Drosophila melanogaster: one gene and its partners. Changing the gene in region 1 together with any one later gene gives a genetic interaction. Each region holds a gene or a part of one and is shown in the gene's direction. Other genes may lie near its edges.

Region 1 (5,680 bases):
ATTCTTCGAAATTTAAGTTATCTGTTCTTATTAAATTTCATCTGAAAACATTTTTTCACTCAGTATTATTCTACGAACTAAGTATATTCTATTCCTCAATTAGCGCTTCTCAGAAAACCTCGAGTTTTCTTAAACAAATAAACTTCATTTGTCTAACATTTCGTTGGGATCCTTGAACTTTGCTACCGCGTCGATCGATCTATTCGAATTTAACTTGGTCACCGATAAGTCTGAAAAGTTCCCACACTTAAGCGTTTCACTAATTTATTGCACTTAATTGATTCGATTTTATGTGATTTTTGTTTCACATAAATTACTTGGCTTTTGGCCCGAGCAGACGCACAAAAGTTGGACGTCTGAAAAAGCCAAAAGAAAGCGAGTCCCGAAACGAAAAAAGGGAAAAAGCAACCGCAAATCAATCAAAGTCTCATAAATTTGTCAAAGTGTTGACAAGACGCAGAAACAGAGCACCTATATCATACATAGTTCCCAAGATTTTGGGGGTTTGGGATTTCGGGATGAAATGGCAACCAGATTAAGTGCAACATCATCTTTTTGACCAGCGAAAACAGACACGGGAAATCCTTTTGGCGAGCGTCGGAAAACAAACAAGGCTATTTTTCATTTTCCTAAAAACGCCGGCCAAATCGCCCCGTCTCTCTCGCTCGCCAGTATCCCCGTCTCTTTCGGCGTAATGGCAACTGCAGCGCCAAGCCAAAAATACGCTGGTGAAAAATGGCCTGGGAATATGTGTTAACTGCTTTTTAAACTGCCACGAGGACGACGACACGACAGTAACAATAACAGCAACAATAGACAGGATTTCGGACTGAATACGAAGATTGGCATACCTTGTTACCCTGTAGTTATTGGTAAAACAAATTGGACTAATTTATTTTAGTTTAAAATGTAAAAAAAAATTTGTACAATCACGCCGAAGATATCACAATTGACTGAAAATTGCCCAAACATACTTGTCATCAAAAAACTTGTTCAAATAATGCAAAAGCCCGTTTCCTCAATTTTTTATTTTTGGTTTGAGATGTAACACCATTTGTACAGGGTATATAAAAAACCAAATGAGAGTAGATTCGCCAAACAGGAGCGCAGAATGACCTGCAAAATATGCAATTTTCAGCGAATGTTTTTGACAATTTATCGCCGTTCCATTTGTTGTTGTTCCCCAAGAAGTAAGAAAGAGAGAGAGAGGAGAAACTCGAACAGCTGTTTGTTGTTGTCAGGATCGCATATCCTTCCAAAGTGGCCAGATCACCGTTACAAGCCAAAAGGACGCAATAAAGGAACTGCAGCGAAAAGTTTGTTTTTGTCGTCCACGTTTCTTCTTCTTCTCCTTCAAGTTTCTTCTCTTTTTTGCCGCTTTTCTTCGAAGGCGTTGCCTATTCGGGCAAAAGTGTGTGTGTGCGAGTGTGTGTGGGGGCGCCAAAAGAGAGCGAAAAGTGAGCGAAAGCTGAAGCTGATGGACAACTGAAGCTTTCTCGCTGCCTTTCAACCTGTAAAGGTGCGGCGAAAAAGAGCCAAGCTGCCAACTGCCACTCACTCAAGCGAAAATAACAAATGGGATTGGTTTTTGCTGATTTTCGACGCCGACGCCGGCAGAGGGGCGAAAAACCCATAAGCCGTCTCCTTTTGGCCAAAGCCAAATAAATTTCAAACGCGGCGAACATTGCGCAAAAAGAGGCGAAAACTGAGAAAGAGAAAGAGATAGAACACCGCTGTACGGTACTGTATATGCATGTGAATGACAAGTGTGTGTATGACAGAAGAGGCGTACCAACAAATCAGTCATCGTCGCCCAGGATGCGAGCGCGCCTGCGCAGGCAATTCGCCGGAGCGTTCGCATAAACCATATATTCCTCTCGCTTGCACTCGCTGAGTTATGGCCAAGAGCGAGTTAATGGCACAATTGTTGCATCTGAACAGAGCGGGGCAGCTGCATGATTGACAATCATGCCGCACCGCTTGCACCCGTTGACTTTGCTGTTGTTTGTCGCTCAGCGCTCTCTTCGCTGTTAGTTAACAGCGATGTTAGGAGTGGAAACACGTCCGACTGTAGCGTAAATTCAAACGTATCTGGCGGGTTGGTTTTTCGATGAAATATCTTTCATCCGCACAGTGTATTTTTGACTGCGAAGCGCGTACGACGTGTGTCTGTGTTGCGTTGCGTTCGAATAAAAAAGAGAAGAAAAGCGAAAAAGTGTTGCCGTCGGTGAAGTTTATTATTATTATGATTATTATTATTGCCCGTTAACCACGCGTTTTGCCATCAATCAACAAATAAACAACACAAGAAACACTTTGGAAATCGCGCGCGTTTTTCCATCGCGCGAACAAAACAATCACGTTTTTTAGTGTGTTTTTCAATCACAATCGAAAAGTTCTCCTTTTCACAATTGAAGGCCAAAATAAATACTGTTATTTGAGGGCCGCGGAGGGAATTTCTTTCAACGAGGGGATCCCGCCGATCCCCCCGCAAAAACAAAGAAACACGCAAATTGCCGTCGCAAAAACACAACAGAATATATTGCATTATATATTAACAATATAATTTGTTCATCTCTAGTAACGTAGTATGTAGAAGCAGCTGTGATAAATAGTGCGCATATTATACGAAAAAAGCAAAAAGAGTATACGACAAACAAATAAAAATTAAAAGCAACCACAACTACTACTATAAAAATAACCAAGGAAAAGGCAAGGAAACTCGCAAAACGAGAGAGAGAGGAAAAGGGAAAAAACGCCATGGATTTATGACAACAACAAATGCAACCCAGTAACAAATGATGTTGCAGCAACTACTACAATACACGAGTATACCAAGAACATCAACAACAACAACTGCAACGGCAACCAACAACAAATTGTATACGATTTTTATAAACCAAACAAATGCTATGTAAATAATTATTATAACAAACACACAAGTAAAAAAAACATTCAAAACCAGATCTCCCGCTCTAGAAAACAAACAACAAACGCGCGCGTAACAAAAACGACAACATCAACAATACAACAAGTATACAAACGTAATAATAATACATAAAATCTAAACAAATGTGCCTGTGTTAAAAAAAAAGAAAGCAAAATCAAGAAGCAAAGCGTTCAAAAAGCAAAGGCTTCCCAATACATGAAAAAAGTGCAAAACATATATAAAAATCCAAGAAAATAACATCCAAAACTGAAGAACTGGAAAAGCCAAGAGTAAATCTAAGGACTCCACACGGGCAGCTACAGTAGAGCTTCCCTAAAACCGAAGCAGTTGCAGCGGCGGAGCGGGACGTCGGTCAGTGTGTTGCGCCCCCATTTGTTGTTCCTACTGTAAAAAGTGGCACAAATCGGGTTAGACGTCGCTCCCAGAGCATTAATGGCTCAGCCCAGGGTAAGTAGATCCACCAAAGTTCACTTTCTAAATATATAGAATCCATATAGAATGGTCCCCCGAGAGTGTTGTTATCCTTAAACAAGTTCCGACGGCTAAAAAACAAATGGGGTTCAGTCAATTTGTAATCAAGTCAAGTGGTGCCGACGGCACTTACAGGTTGTAGTTTATGATGATATTGTAACAGTTTTCATATCATGGATATGTTACCAGTGTAACCAAATCAATCTATAACCAGAATACGCAAAAAGTTTTAAAAATCTTCAGATATTAGTTAATCCAACTTCATGAAGTAGATCTATATAAATATTTCTTATACATGGCCTCCAAGCTTCTCCAATTTAACCCATTACAATCAATTCAATGGGGAATAGTTCTTGTTTATTAGAGCCCTATCAAAATGAATTTTAACTAAGCGTTTCTGAGTGTGTGTGTGTGTGTGTGCTTATGTGTATTGGAATAGGACAGAAATCACATTTGATTTATGCGGGTCATTTTCTGGTACAAGTTTATATAATTAACTGAGTCTGCAGCTAGACCATTTTATTTGGGAAGTGATGGAAATCAAAGATCGCCGAAATAGTGATAGATATTGTATTACATTAAACAACGGTTTACTCTAGAAAATCATTAAATAATGTTTATTGAAAATTGTTAGCTTTTCCCCTTAACTTTTCATTTTCACACCGCAATAGTTGATTCGATTTTTGTTTAAACATGGCTGGGACCTTCACCTCCGAAAAGCCCCCCCGTTGCATAGCCACAATGATTCCACCATTTTCCATCACGTTTATAAGGCATAAATTCTCGCCTCGCTTTTTAAACGGAGTAATAATTTTTACAATCCATCTGGATCGTAAATTATATGCTAATCAGGTGACCGGCAGTCTCCGCTCGCCCGCTCTTCAAAAAAATATTATTACCAAATCGCAGTTAGACTTTATCAATTGATTATCATGGACATGCGAAGTGAACTTGATTTTTATTTAACGGAGCAAAAAGACCTCAAACATGGCCGTTTGCCTGTGTGTGTGCTACCAATTAGCGTGTGTGTGTGTGTGTGTGTTACCAAAAGGTGGGCCATGCTCTTTGGGAGCATTAAAAAAATCAGAAAGAAATATAAAAAATAAAAATGGATATGGAAATGGAAATGGAGATGGGAAAAAAGAAATGCCCGCGGGAATTTTGTGTGTGTCTGCGTTACTGGCGAATAAATTTACGCCTGTGGTTTAATACCCGATTCTGTGCCGAATTTACCTCTTTGAATCCCCTTTTTCGTAATTCTCCTGCGGCTCTTTACCCGAATCGCGCCATTTCAATTCCATCAAATGAATTTTTCGACTCGGGGCGAGAGATATATGTATGTATGTACGAGTATGTGAATATATACGGGTGTTCTGTCTGTTTGTGTGCATTTGATGCATATAATTTTATTGCACATTTTGCACATTGCCAGCGGCCCAAAAGCGATCCATTCAGTTTATGCCGCTTCGTGGTTTTATTATTTACAATTTTATTTTTACCATTTTCCATGACTTTGCGCTGCTATAATTTGCGAAAAATGGCGGGAAGCAATTTTCGCGGGTTCTTCTCAAACCAAACTGCACATGCATTTTTATATATATTTAATTTGATTATTTTATGCCATCGAAACGGAGAGCAAACGAGAGAAACAGTGAGAAAGAGCGGCCGTGTAAAATGTGCAAAAAAAAAAAATGTGCAATTGCAATTTGTATAAAAATGTGCATTGCAGCTGCTGCCATTCTCCCCCGCGCCCCCTCACTTTTCCCACCATTTTTCAGTTCGTGTGCCATTTCAAACGCCTGCGAAATGCAGCACAAAAATTGTTTTGGTGTTATTTTAATTTAAAGGTTAACCGCAGCGTAATTTGTGGCATAAAATATAATTCGTCTATCGTGTGCTCGCCTCTCCCACTGTGTTTGTTCAGCTATTTTTTGTATTTCTCGTTCGCTTTAGAAATAAAATCAAAATCAAAATAGAAAAGATCAAGGAGAGCGGAGCAGCGGAAAATGCCACAGTCGATTCTGTGGTTTACTTTAGTGGCCAGCAGCATTTGCAAAAGTTGATGGAAACATTCGGAATTCGACTTAGGTGGCAAACTAAAACATTTTTTTTGTTGAGCCAGGAAAAAAATTCTAGTTATATATGTATATATTATCAGTATATAACAATGGTCCGCTGAAATGTGTACTTTCAAATATACCAACTGCTGAACTCATTCCATTAATAACAATAAATTGAATTTGAAATTCCCTATGTTAC
Region 2 (5,807 bases), about 13 Mb from region 1:
TGGGATTCCCAGAACTCCTTAAATTGAGCCATAATACCCTTAAGCTGCGTATTGTTTAAACAATAATAAATACGATTTGATGGTTTGCCAACTTCTAGGTGGCCCAATAAAAAACGTATTTGTTTTGAATAGATAATAGATAGATAATATGCTCATATAGAGAAGCAGACCGTTAAAGGTCAAAATGATAGCTGTTATGAAAAAGAGCAAATAAATTATAATATTGATTAGTCTACACAATTAAGTACATTTCTTATAAATAGAAATGTCATTTAAAATTGCTAACACCATAGATTTTAATAGTTAAAGAAGAAAAGATTAACAAATAAGTACGAATCTTTTGACCAATTTCTATAAAGAACCTGTCGATTAAATTTATAGCAGGGACTCATGGCTGATTCCCAAAATTTAGAAGTGCGACCAATTTAATTTATTTTATGATTCATTTATTGTCCCAATCTAATCGAAAAATTCCCCCTGTGGAACATTGGCTGATGTAATTTGCATTCTTCCAAGGCAGGGCCCACTGTATTGTGTACAATGGAGAAATCCCTCTATGGTTACTGATACCTAATACTTTGTTCCCAAATCAATTGATAGATAATGAATGCCGTTTCCACGCGGTTATCTTTCTGGATTCTCGTGGGAGTTGATATTGTTGTTGGGCATCCACTGTACTTATCTACATTTGAATTTGTGTGAATGTGTGTAATTTTCTCAATAAATGGCAAATAAAACAAACCATTAGGTTGGCTATATCTCATTTTTGAATTCCACCCGTCGAAGTTCGCTTATCAGTTTTTATAGCTCATTTACAGTGAAAGTTCGATAAAGTTACTAGCAGGGAATTCGAAGAAATTAAAAATAAAATCACACGAGTATGGCTACTAAAATATATATGAATTTATTATATCTTTGATCTGTCACATTGATCAAAATGAGTAAAAACACATTTTCTTATACGCCGAAAACAAACTGTTTATATTTAATGTCGGAACAGAATTATTAAGTTCAAAACCACCATCCTAAAAAAAAGCCTAGTCAACCTAGTGACCCATCCTTATCTGTGTGTTCGCTTTCATTCCAGTTGACATATTGACTCATCACCATTTGTGCCAGCTGATAAGCAATAATGATCGACTTAGAGGATCTGCCTCGGCTGCAATCCTTGTCCCCGGCGAAGGACATCGAATATACCTACCACCAGACCCAATTGCAGCTGAATCCGAAGAAGAAGGTCACCGTCCGGGTGCCCATTGGACCACCCTCGAAGTTGAGTAAGCTGATTAAGCCCACGGTGGCTTCCACGCCCGCTGTACTGGCCAAGCCAACGCCATCCATCACCCAATCGACGACGCCAGGTAACGCCAAGACCAACATTTGGAAAGGTGGCTTCCATTTTACCAATCTGGTAAGTATTGAAAGGCTTCGGTGTTAATTACTTTATCCAAATGCCAGCACAAATGTTCCCAGTTCAGAACGCAATATATCTATAAATTACCCCCATCAATCTAAATTAATTTTTATGAGCAGGTCTTTTAGATAGATTGATAGTCTTCTAGCTATATTTTGAATTACACGTTCTGAATAGTGTGGCTATCTGTTTTATTGAGCAAGTCTAATACAAATGTATCCATTTGTGATATCAATAGCTAACGGAAGTTATTGTTAAGATATTTGTATTTTTGCATGCATGTAGAATATCAATATCAATATCATGAAAAAAAATTATTTTAAATTAATATTAAGGAAATATAAAACTATATATATCCCTTTATTTTTAATTTTAATACAAATTTCAACTTTGTTATGTAGAACTAGTTAAAAAAATGACTAATGCAAATTAACTGAAAAATTTGCATGGACACGTGTCAAAAGCTTATAAGCTTACACCATATCTACATAAAATTGCAATAGCCACCATGTCTACATAAGTTACTCTTAGGGAAAATATAAATATGTTCTTTATATTCTTAAGATATTCTTTCTAAAAACTAAATCTAGAAATAAAAGGTAGGTAATAAAGATACATTTGTAACCGAAATCTACATTTCTAGCTCTCCTTTAAAAAGCTCTTTCTGTCACTGTTAGTTTAAGCTACATTTAACATTTCTGTTAAAAGCACAATGTATTATGGTGAGACCGCACTTGGCGGCCCCGAAAAAAACCGCAAAAGCACAAAACTCAACAAAATCGTCTGCAAAGAGCCTCAACTGGGCACACTTGATAAAAGCACCGCGCTGGACAGACGTTTTTTGCCTCAAATGTTTTGAGGCCGCAATCGAAAATCGCGACTGATTTCGACGGCGGAGAAATTGCCAAACGCGGCGTAACAAACAAAACACGTTTTCAAGCTCACCACGTAGGTACGGCGGTTGGCGAAAGAGAGTAGCAAAGCGGACGCGACAATAATTTGCCAAATAACAGTGAAAGAAGACGCGTAAAGGTGCGAAGTACACGCCGCTTAAATTGTGTGTGTGTGTGTGTGCGTGTCTGGCTGCGTGTGCTTGTGTGCCGGAACAACAAATGAAAAAGTTTCGGTTGTGCGTTTAAGAACTACAGTTGCGAAATGTTGCATGCCCCACTAAATAAGTGCAACTCATTGTGTGGTGGTGGTACTGTCGGTGGGGGTGGTGGGTTAAAGGCAATCAAAACAACAACGACCAACAGGCTAGCAACAACAGTTATTCAGCAATCGCCCCCTCTCGCTCTCGCGCTCAGTCTCCCTCTCTCGCTCCCTCTCCACCGCTCAGCTGACAGAATGCAATCGAGAAAAACATCGAGTTAGAAAGAATAGGGAACGAAAAGGAACTAGCAATTTGATAAATAATTTGTTGATGCAAAGTGCAGAGTGAATGTTGAAATGCTGCCGTTGCCGGTTATTCTCTGCTCATTCTCGAAGCTTCCATATTTCATTTTTCCTATTTGTTTTGCTCTCCGCGATTCTCAGCAAAAAATTAAATCGTTTTGCATTTAATTAATTGCATTAATTGTGGGCACAGACCGAATTGGAATTGGCAAGAAAAAACAGCAGTTGTATGCTTCAACGTGTGCGTGTCTTTTTTTTTGGTGTGTGAGTCAGAGAGAGACGAGAATCGGGCGATAAAAGAAAACAAAGAAATACAAAGCAATGTGGAGGCAAAACACATGCAAATATTAGGCAGTGTAAAAACAACAAACGAAGCGAAAATATTATTGTTTTAACCCTTGATGGACTTGACAATTTTTTGTACCTTAACGTAGTTAAATAATTTTACAGCTGTCTTGAAAATCTTAACATACAAATGACTTCAAATTCTAATTTGACGTAGGTCCAATATAGGGTTAACAAATAAGTGACGATTTCACCACGTAAAACGGCACCACCACCACACACACTCTCACACAAAAGTGCGTACCAGACGGCGAGAAAGAAGCACCAGGTGGCACATAATCAAATATCAATTGTTATTAATATTTAATGGCACTTGAATGCAAATTGTCTGCAGAAGAGAAAGTTCAAGGACGCAGACAAGCGAAATATATATTTAAAGTTGTTAAATAAATAAAACGCGTGTTTTCCAGCAATTAAAAGTAAAAATCGTAGAAAGTGAAACATAAACAAATAAGGTCTTGCAGAGCAAAAGAAAAGTGAACGGTAAACAATAAACCATTGTGTGTGCTGCAGGGAAGAAGAAGCAGCGAAGAGGAAAAGAAGATCAAGCAACGGCAACAACAACAAGGAGAACATTTACTGCGCCGCAGCTTTTTTACCGTTGTAGTCGGGTCTCATCATCCAAAAAAAATTTGAGGTGAGTGCACTGCAATACAGCCACAATCACACGCACACCCACACAAGAACCCTCTCTTGCACGCACATGCACACGTCATTTCCCTACCCCTCTCTTTCTCTCTCTCGCGCACATCTTTTCATTGAGAATTGAGCCAAATAAAGTTTGGATTTTTGTTAAAATGGCTTTAAACAAAGAAAGTTTATATCGAACCTTGAAAGAATTTTGCACACAATTTTTTCGTCCGTCCTTGAATCGGGTGCTTCACTTCGCATTGCGCACATTTCAAATGCTCGCGAGAGACCTTGAACAAGTTCAAGTTCAAAGCCATTTCGTCTGGGTCTGGGTCATTCCTTCCGCCTCACGCCCCCCTTTTTCGGGTGGGCGGTTGTCTGTTAACCTTGTTTAAGGGGGGGGGGGGTGTGTGTGTGGCTGGACAGGATGGGCATATTAAATGCGTTGTGGATATCAAACAGAATTCGGACAAAACAACAACCAAAGAAGGATACATGCATATATGTATTTATGTATTATACACACATATTTCGGAAAATTCGATTCTTGACCTGCTTAATTGTCTCTGAATATGAAATTAACTATGCTGAAATGCGCTAGGTCATCATCATAACAGCCTTTCTAGGCTATCCACTTTGGTTTGGTATGAAAACAAACTATGTGTTGTGTTTCTGTAGCAAAACCTTGTTAGTGTTTCTGCACATTTATAATTTCAAGTTTAAATAATAGAGATAAGGGATGTTTCCTTACGACAATCTTTCATTTATTTTAATATCTCTCGAAAGTATTACTTATGTACCTTAACTACATAATTGCGAACAGAAAAACATAATTGTGTTCGTTTTTGCTAAATAAATATGAATCCTAATATAATCGCGATGTGGAAATTAGATGTGTTTTTAATAAAAGACGTTACCGACCCGGAAGTTGAACTTTCTTTGGTGCACTTCCTCGTGCTTAGCAATTTATAAAATCGACTGGCAAACAAAACAAAGGCTGCACCACTCGAAACAAAAGCATTTTCATTTAACATTCAAACTGCATATATGGCCATGCGGCAATGTATGAATATTACACTACATATCTACATACTTGCATATGTACATATAGTTAGCAAATCGTTATGCTTACTAATTCCATTCTATTTGTTGTCACATCTTGATTTGCTTACAGAACAAAACCGAGGACAGCCATCAATTAAAAGCAAAGAGCATTGGAAAATCGGGGAGATAGGCCGTGGAAACTGCGAATTTTCAGCTTTTTGCGCAGATTTCGGAACGCCGAAGGAGGAGGAGGAGGAGGAGGCCGGAAGGCGGGGCAAGGCGACGTCATTGAACGCATAGATCCCGGACGACGCAGCCGTAGAGCTGTTGTCCGGGACGGAGAACAACAAGAACAACAGCAGCGGAGGAGGAGGAGGAGGAGGAGGAGGCGGCGGGCGGAGGTGGACTACGGACTACAAGAGTCACCCACGCACCCATTCGCTCACGTATCGAAACCTCTGAAAGCAACAAAATGATCTCAAACAAAAAATCGTACGCTATGAAAATGCTGCAGCTGGCTTTGGCCTTGAGTCTGCTGCATTATAATCCCGATTACCTGCTCCATCGCTGGGACTCGCAGCTGGAATTGGGCACCCATGGCGATGGATGGGAGCTGGAGATGCTGCGGACGGTACACCGCCTGGATATGGATCACAACCCGTATGGAAATCGTAAAGGACTGAGTCCCCGCATTGAGGATCTCCTAAACTTCGACGATCCTTCCTTGGGGGGAATGGCCAATGGCATAGGGGGCTGCAAGCTTCCGCCAAGATTCAACGGCAGCACTTTTGTAATGAATCTCCACAACACCACCGGGAATAGCAGTGTCCAGACGGCAGCTCTGCAGGATGTGCAGAGCACTAGTGCTGCCGCCACTGGCGGTACAATGGTGGTTGGTACTGGTGGTGCACCCACCTCGGGTGGTCAAACCAGTGGTTCTGCACTGGGTGAAATCCACATTGATACCGCCTCGCTGGAC
Region 3 (5,894 bases), on another chromosome or scaffold:
TTAAATCAAAGAATAGAATGAACACCCTTTATAATAGGAGTCATATGTCGAAACAAAAATTGGTATGGTTAAATATTGTATATGCAAAACGAAATTTAATTAGCCTCAAGGAATTTAATTGCATACCAAAGTTATAAATATCGATAAAAACTGGCAAAAAATTAAAGAGATATTATTTGTACATATGTATGTATGTATGTACATGTACTTTACACTAACGCATGTCTCCCTTATTGTGATGCTAACTTCTGACTTAAATCAATATACAGCTGTGTTCATAAAAAATAGCAGTGCTTTGCACCTGCGAGTTTAATATAGAAAAATCCTATGATTTACAGTTTTGATGGGCTTTTTTTTATAATATCATTAGGTATTTAATTTCCAACAATTCAACAAAAATTTCACACTTATTTCTTTAATAGTTTTCTAAAATATAGATCAAAACAACATAATAGGCAGATATTCTGGTGTTCACTGAAAGAGCAGTGCAATAAAAAAATATTAACAAAATTCAATTTGACTTAAAACTAACAGTTTTTCTTATTAATGTGTTGGATAGCCTCTGTTAGCCACCACCTACGCGGCTTGGAGTCCACCAGGTCCTGGCAACGTTTGGGGGGAATTTTTGCCAATGCATCCTGCACAACTTGCCAAATCTGAGCCTTAGACGTCGGGGAATTATTCGTCACATATTGTATAATGTCCCCCCACAGGTTTTCAATCGGGATTAAATCGGAAGATGGTGCTTGCCACGGCATTGCATCTATTCTATTTTGGGTGAACCTTTTCTTAACCGATTTGCTTCTGCCATTCGGATCATTATTCTGTTGGAATTTCCATTTTAAGGGCATATTATAATAAGAATATGACAGTAAGACATCCCTTAGTATATTTACACATGCGTTTTGGTCTATAATACCATAAATCATATGTTATGGACTCATACCATTGTAAAAAATAAACAAGCCCATACCAGTATTGCAGGTCCACCGTGATTGAAAGTCTTCAGTGGGTGTTTTGGGTGGTACTCGGTGTTTGGAGGTCGTCAGATATAACCATATGAACCAGTTCCACCAAATAGCACTATTTTTAACACATCAGTCCAGGGGATATTACGCCATTTGGAGACTGGCCAGTTTAGGTGGGTTTTAGCGAAGTTTAACCTTGGCTTAAAATGCCTTGGGCTAAGTAGGGGCACCTTTCGTGGACTCCTCGCAACTAAATTTTGATTCAGTAGTCGTCTCCGTAAATATGCATAGGAATCAAGGCAATGCTCGGTTACCGGTTGATAATTTTATAGAATAATGTATATAATGTTTTATAATGTAATGTATTATAATGTATCGAAAGTTACTATTTTATACGTTTGTCAATTTATGTGAAAAAGTACATGCAATATATAAACTTAAGGTAACCAGGGTCGGCACAAAGAAAAATATTGTAGATGCACTTATTAGACGTGATCTTGAGTATTAATGATACTAGTATTTAAATAGTATTCAATGCTGTCATCTTTTAGACTGTATAAAGGCACTTATTAAACCAAATTTGTACTTCATTCGGCTTTATACTTTCATATGTACATCAATGTTCTTACACAGCCTTACATTCACGCATTCACAAACATTGACACCTTGCCATGAAAACTAATAAAATCGCGGCATTTTGGCACATTTTCAGAGGAAAGAACGGCCGGAGTGTCGCTAATTCAATTGTTTTCGCAGCCAAAAAGAAAAGTGGAATGGGTTGATTTCAAGTGAAAATTGCCCCAAACCACTTTTCCACTTTTTCACTCTCCTACTCGCTCGCACAGCAATGCAACGAAACAAAAGAAGCGAGATCCACGAAGAAGCTGCAGAAAGGCGAACAAAAGTTGACAGCAGAGGGTATGAAGGAAGGTGAGCGAGAGGGAAGAGGCTAAAAGTGACGAGGGCGAAAAGCTCAGAGAGCAACAACTACTGTTTATTTTGAAAAGAAATAAAAACAGAGCAGGGACCGACACAGTTTGAGTGGCTGCGAGCAGGACGGCGCATGCGAGTGAGAGCATTTTTGTTAAACTGTCATAAATCTTAATTGTGATGGAATCGGATTCGGAATAGGACAAAAGAAGGGTGACGAAACGACAAAACAGATTTCACACACTTTCGGAGCAAGCGAGACGGAGCGGTCCCACAACGCTATCTCTTTCCCTAGCGATTTCCCCTGTTTCAGTTCCAAGCGTTCACTTGCCAGCACAGGGGAAAGTCTGCGCTCTTGTCGCTCTCTCTCTCTCTTCTCTCTCGCGCTCTCTTTTGGCTACCCATCGGTTTCGGGTTCTTTTCGCCAAGAGTCAGTCAGTCGACAAGAAACCGTTACTGCGTACGATCGTGCGAAAAAGCTCGGCGCACTTGGAAAAATCGTACGGTAATTAGTTAGCCGAGTGCCGGCGAGTGCGAGCGAGAGAGTAGCACATTTAATCACGCTGACAGCCAGCTTGTCCTGCAAGGGTGTGGGTGGCACACACGGCACACACAACACACACACAAGTGCGCAGCCGTCGCCAGAACGCAAAATCGAATCAGAAATTGCCGTCGCCAAAACGCGGGCTTCGTGTTTGCTCGTCAACAGCAGCGCAGCTTCCAATCGCTGCGCGTCCGTCGCGTCGCTTCATTTTTTCATCCGTATCAATCAGTGAAGGCAGAGCAGCAGCGCCCCGTTGTTGTTGTTTGTCAGCTTGACAGCGACGGCAGCGCAGCAGCAGCGCACCGGCAGAGCACCGCAGCAGAGGCTAGTGACGAAGGAACCCGGCCAGCGGGATTCAATCGCCTTTGGACTTTCGTTCGAGTAGTGACGACGAATCCGGATGAGAAGACGCACGCATCGCGACCCGCGGTTCCGCCAGAACAGTGAATTCTCAGTTTAAAACGCGTTTTTGGGGGAGGATAGAACGAGTGTTTTCCAGGCCGCCATCATATCTAGTCAAAGAAGCAGAGGTTTGATACTCTCGAACGCAAATGCTCGATCAAGACTGAAACATACGAGAAACATACAACTACAAATGGTTCAACAAAGTATACGTAAAACTACCACAAGCTAAACAAAATATACCACAAAAATATATTTATTACCAAAACTAAAGATAAACTATTGCAAATATTTACATTAAACGGTATTTAATTCACCAAAATTACACTACATACATAATGTAAAGCCAGTTACTTAAATCAACAAACCTTAACGAAGTATACGATTCAATGCAATTAATAAATTAAATTTAAATCAACACAAATTAGGAATTAAAAATACAAACGCCTCGAAACGTCATTTTTTGTCTGACATACGAAAGTTTATAAATTACAAAATCCAAAAAATATAAATTAATCAGTTATACGCTGCAACAACAACAAGTTATACTACAACGTACCAAGTGCAAAACAATAGATTATATGATCATTGTGTCAAACTAAAGTTAAGTTCCAAAATCCAACTAAAATCCTCGTTGTTTGCTCCAAAAAGAGCAAACCATCCAAGTTCCAGCAAACCGTCAAAATTCAGCAAAATTTAAAAATGTTACACGAGGCTCTGATGCTCGAGATCTACAGACAGGCGCTAAATGCCGGGTAAGTGTTATATGGAAGATTATTTCCATAGAACAGTGAAAGATGTAGAATTAAGAAAAAGATTCACATGGCCTTATTCGGGGGATTCAAAAATGTGACTACTCTGGGTATGAAGGATAAACGAACTGAGATTTTACTACCAAAGTGCATCAAAGTGTTTTTCATTATGAAATAGTGAAATATTGAATTCTTAACTAAAAGTGGCCATACTCAAAATATTCACATATAAAATAATTACATTCATCTCATTCAGTTAATATTATTTTTTTGCAATTGCTTTTTATGTGCGTTCAAGTATCTGGTTAAATAGAATATTATATATACCAAGTATATACGACATATATTGAATATAGAACGTTTTCAATCAAAATCAAAAACCATTGTCATTGTGAACTGATAGCCGAACTTGTTGAAATAGTATTGCAGACTCTCAACCACAAATCGGCCAAATAAATATATCAAGAAACTATGATTTCATGGCATTTGATGATTGGCATTGGCGGTTCGGCGTAGTCGCACACCTGTCGTTATAAATTCAGCGCCTCGCCAATAGCGCGCCCATATATCACAACACCCACCCGCAGAACCAAGAGTACTGAGTTCACGACTACGAGTCCAGACCCTCGGATCGGGAAAAGCAGAACTTGATTTGAAAAGGGTGGCTGGCAGGGGAAATCCGAAAATAACAGAAAAATCGCCATAGTTCGATGATGGGATACTAACTTGGGGTAAGCGTTTGTGTATCTGTATCTGGGTTTCTCTGAAATTATGATTAAACAAGTTCAAGATATTTTTCGAACTCGCTCTCGAACAGTCACTCGAGTGAGCCTGAGTCTGAGCAAATTAACTGAAGGCTAAAAACGGGTTTTATGACACTATATTTGCGGGGGCGAGGGTATTCGGGGGTGCATCTGGAGTATTAATAATAAAGTGCGACAAATTGTCTCGCTCTCGTTTGATTTGCATGCAGATACACACGAATTTTCAAGATTTTCCAAGGCGATGACGTAGTCGAATTGAATAAATCATGCGAAAAAGTGAAAAACTCAAAATACGCTACGCTCTGCTTGCCATCTTTTCCATTCTCCACCCCCTCCAATTTCCCCGTGTGCGCCTATTACCGGAGAGATTTATGTTCACAATTTGCCGCTGGCGTGTGCGTGTGCGTGTGGCTGTATCTCCGGGTGCATGTGTATGTTTAGTAATATTTACTCTGCTACCTTAACGGATTTGTCGTGCCTTAGATTTGCTTTAACAGGGACAGTGTGTTGTATTCGGCACAAATAGATATACTGTTATTAATAACCTTCATTTCGCAGTATATAGTAAAAATATACTAGGGAATAAACATTTTAAACAATAATTCTACTATAAAAAAATTCAGATCGGTCAACTCATATTTATTTATATTCTCACCTGAGGTCCAACCAACTCTCCCATATCACACCAATGGGTGTACTCCCACTATTTTAGTTAGCCTGAGCGTTACGGGTGCATATCAATATGCAACTCTCTCGATTATTAATGAGACATTTCAACTTGTAATTAACTGCACTTGCTGGAGTTGCGTATAAATCATTTTGATTTAAGCCTAATCGAATAACGAGATTTCAGATTATGATATGCTGGCGGAGAAAACTCGTTGCCAAGTATTTTATACTAGTCAAGCAAAATAATGGAGAAACGAGCCGCTAAATGGGTTGTTTGCGGGCTCAATCGCCCCTTGCAATCTGGATAGCTAATTAGCGGTGAGTGATTGCGCGGTGTGTGTAATAACTATCTTTGATAAACTGTCACCTGGCAGGTGACTGAGTTCAAAATAAGCTGCACATGAATCAGATTTTGTTCCGACGTTCCTTAAGATATCATCAATATTGCGCTAGGCCGGATTTGTTAGTAAACAATCCATCAATTAAACACTGACTTTCTGATAGGGCCCAGTGACAAAACTCCTCCGAATCAAACAACTTAATGCCGGTTAAGAATTTCATTTTTCGGTGAACGATCGCTCGTCACACAATAGCACATGACAATTACTTGATATTCGACGCTTCGACCAACTTAGGCAGATTTTACAGGCTGATTTTCACGTTCAAATATTGATTAAGTTTGGTTATTTCCGTCCGTTTCAAATGCAAACCCAATCAGCAAAGCACAATGCGCACCCACACACAAATACAAAGTTATTATATAGAGCTATCATCAAAAATTTATAACCTTTGCATATACTTCAAAGTTAATCAGACAATCATTCAAAATAAGCTAAACGGAATCCGCTGAATTATGTTTCTGTGA

The links. A genetic interaction does not mean that the proteins touch.
Region 2: of hth (region 1) and cnc, changing one suppresses a phenotype caused by changing the other (phenotypic suppression), as found in Drosophila melanogaster (one study listed by BioGRID).
Region 3: of hth (region 1) and tsh, changing one suppresses a phenotype caused by changing the other (phenotypic suppression), as found in Drosophila melanogaster (one study listed by BioGRID).

What each region holds. Positions count from the first base shown.
Region 1 is NT_033777.3:10,610,702-10,616,381, reverse strand, and holds the start of hth (homothorax), read left to right. Parts: upstream 1-2,105; 5' UTR 2,106-3,382; coding exon 3,383-3,397; intron 3,398-5,680. UniProt on the Drosophila melanogaster protein: All isoforms are required for patterning of the embryonic cuticle. Acts with exd to delimit the eye field and prevent inappropriate eye development.
Region 2 is NT_033777.3:23,218,401-23,224,207, reverse strand, and holds the start of cnc (cap-n-collar), read left to right. Parts: upstream 1-2,246; 5' UTR 2,247-2,362; exon of another isoform or gene 2,363-2,446; intron 2,447-3,311; exon of another isoform or gene 3,312-3,564; 5' UTR 3,565-3,791; intron 3,792-4,958; 5' UTR 4,959-5,300; coding exon 5,301-5,807. UniProt on the Drosophila melanogaster protein: Plays a role in posterior cephalic patterning. Probable subunit of a heterodimeric regulatory protein involved in the control of head morphogenesis.
Region 3 is NT_033779.5:21,826,260-21,832,153, forward strand, and holds the start of tsh (teashirt), read left to right. Parts: upstream 1-2,333; 5' UTR 2,334-3,546; coding exon 3,547-3,599; intron 3,600-5,894. UniProt on the Drosophila melanogaster protein: Homeotic protein that acts downstream of Arm in the Wg cascade during embryogenesis to determine segment identity throughout the entire trunk.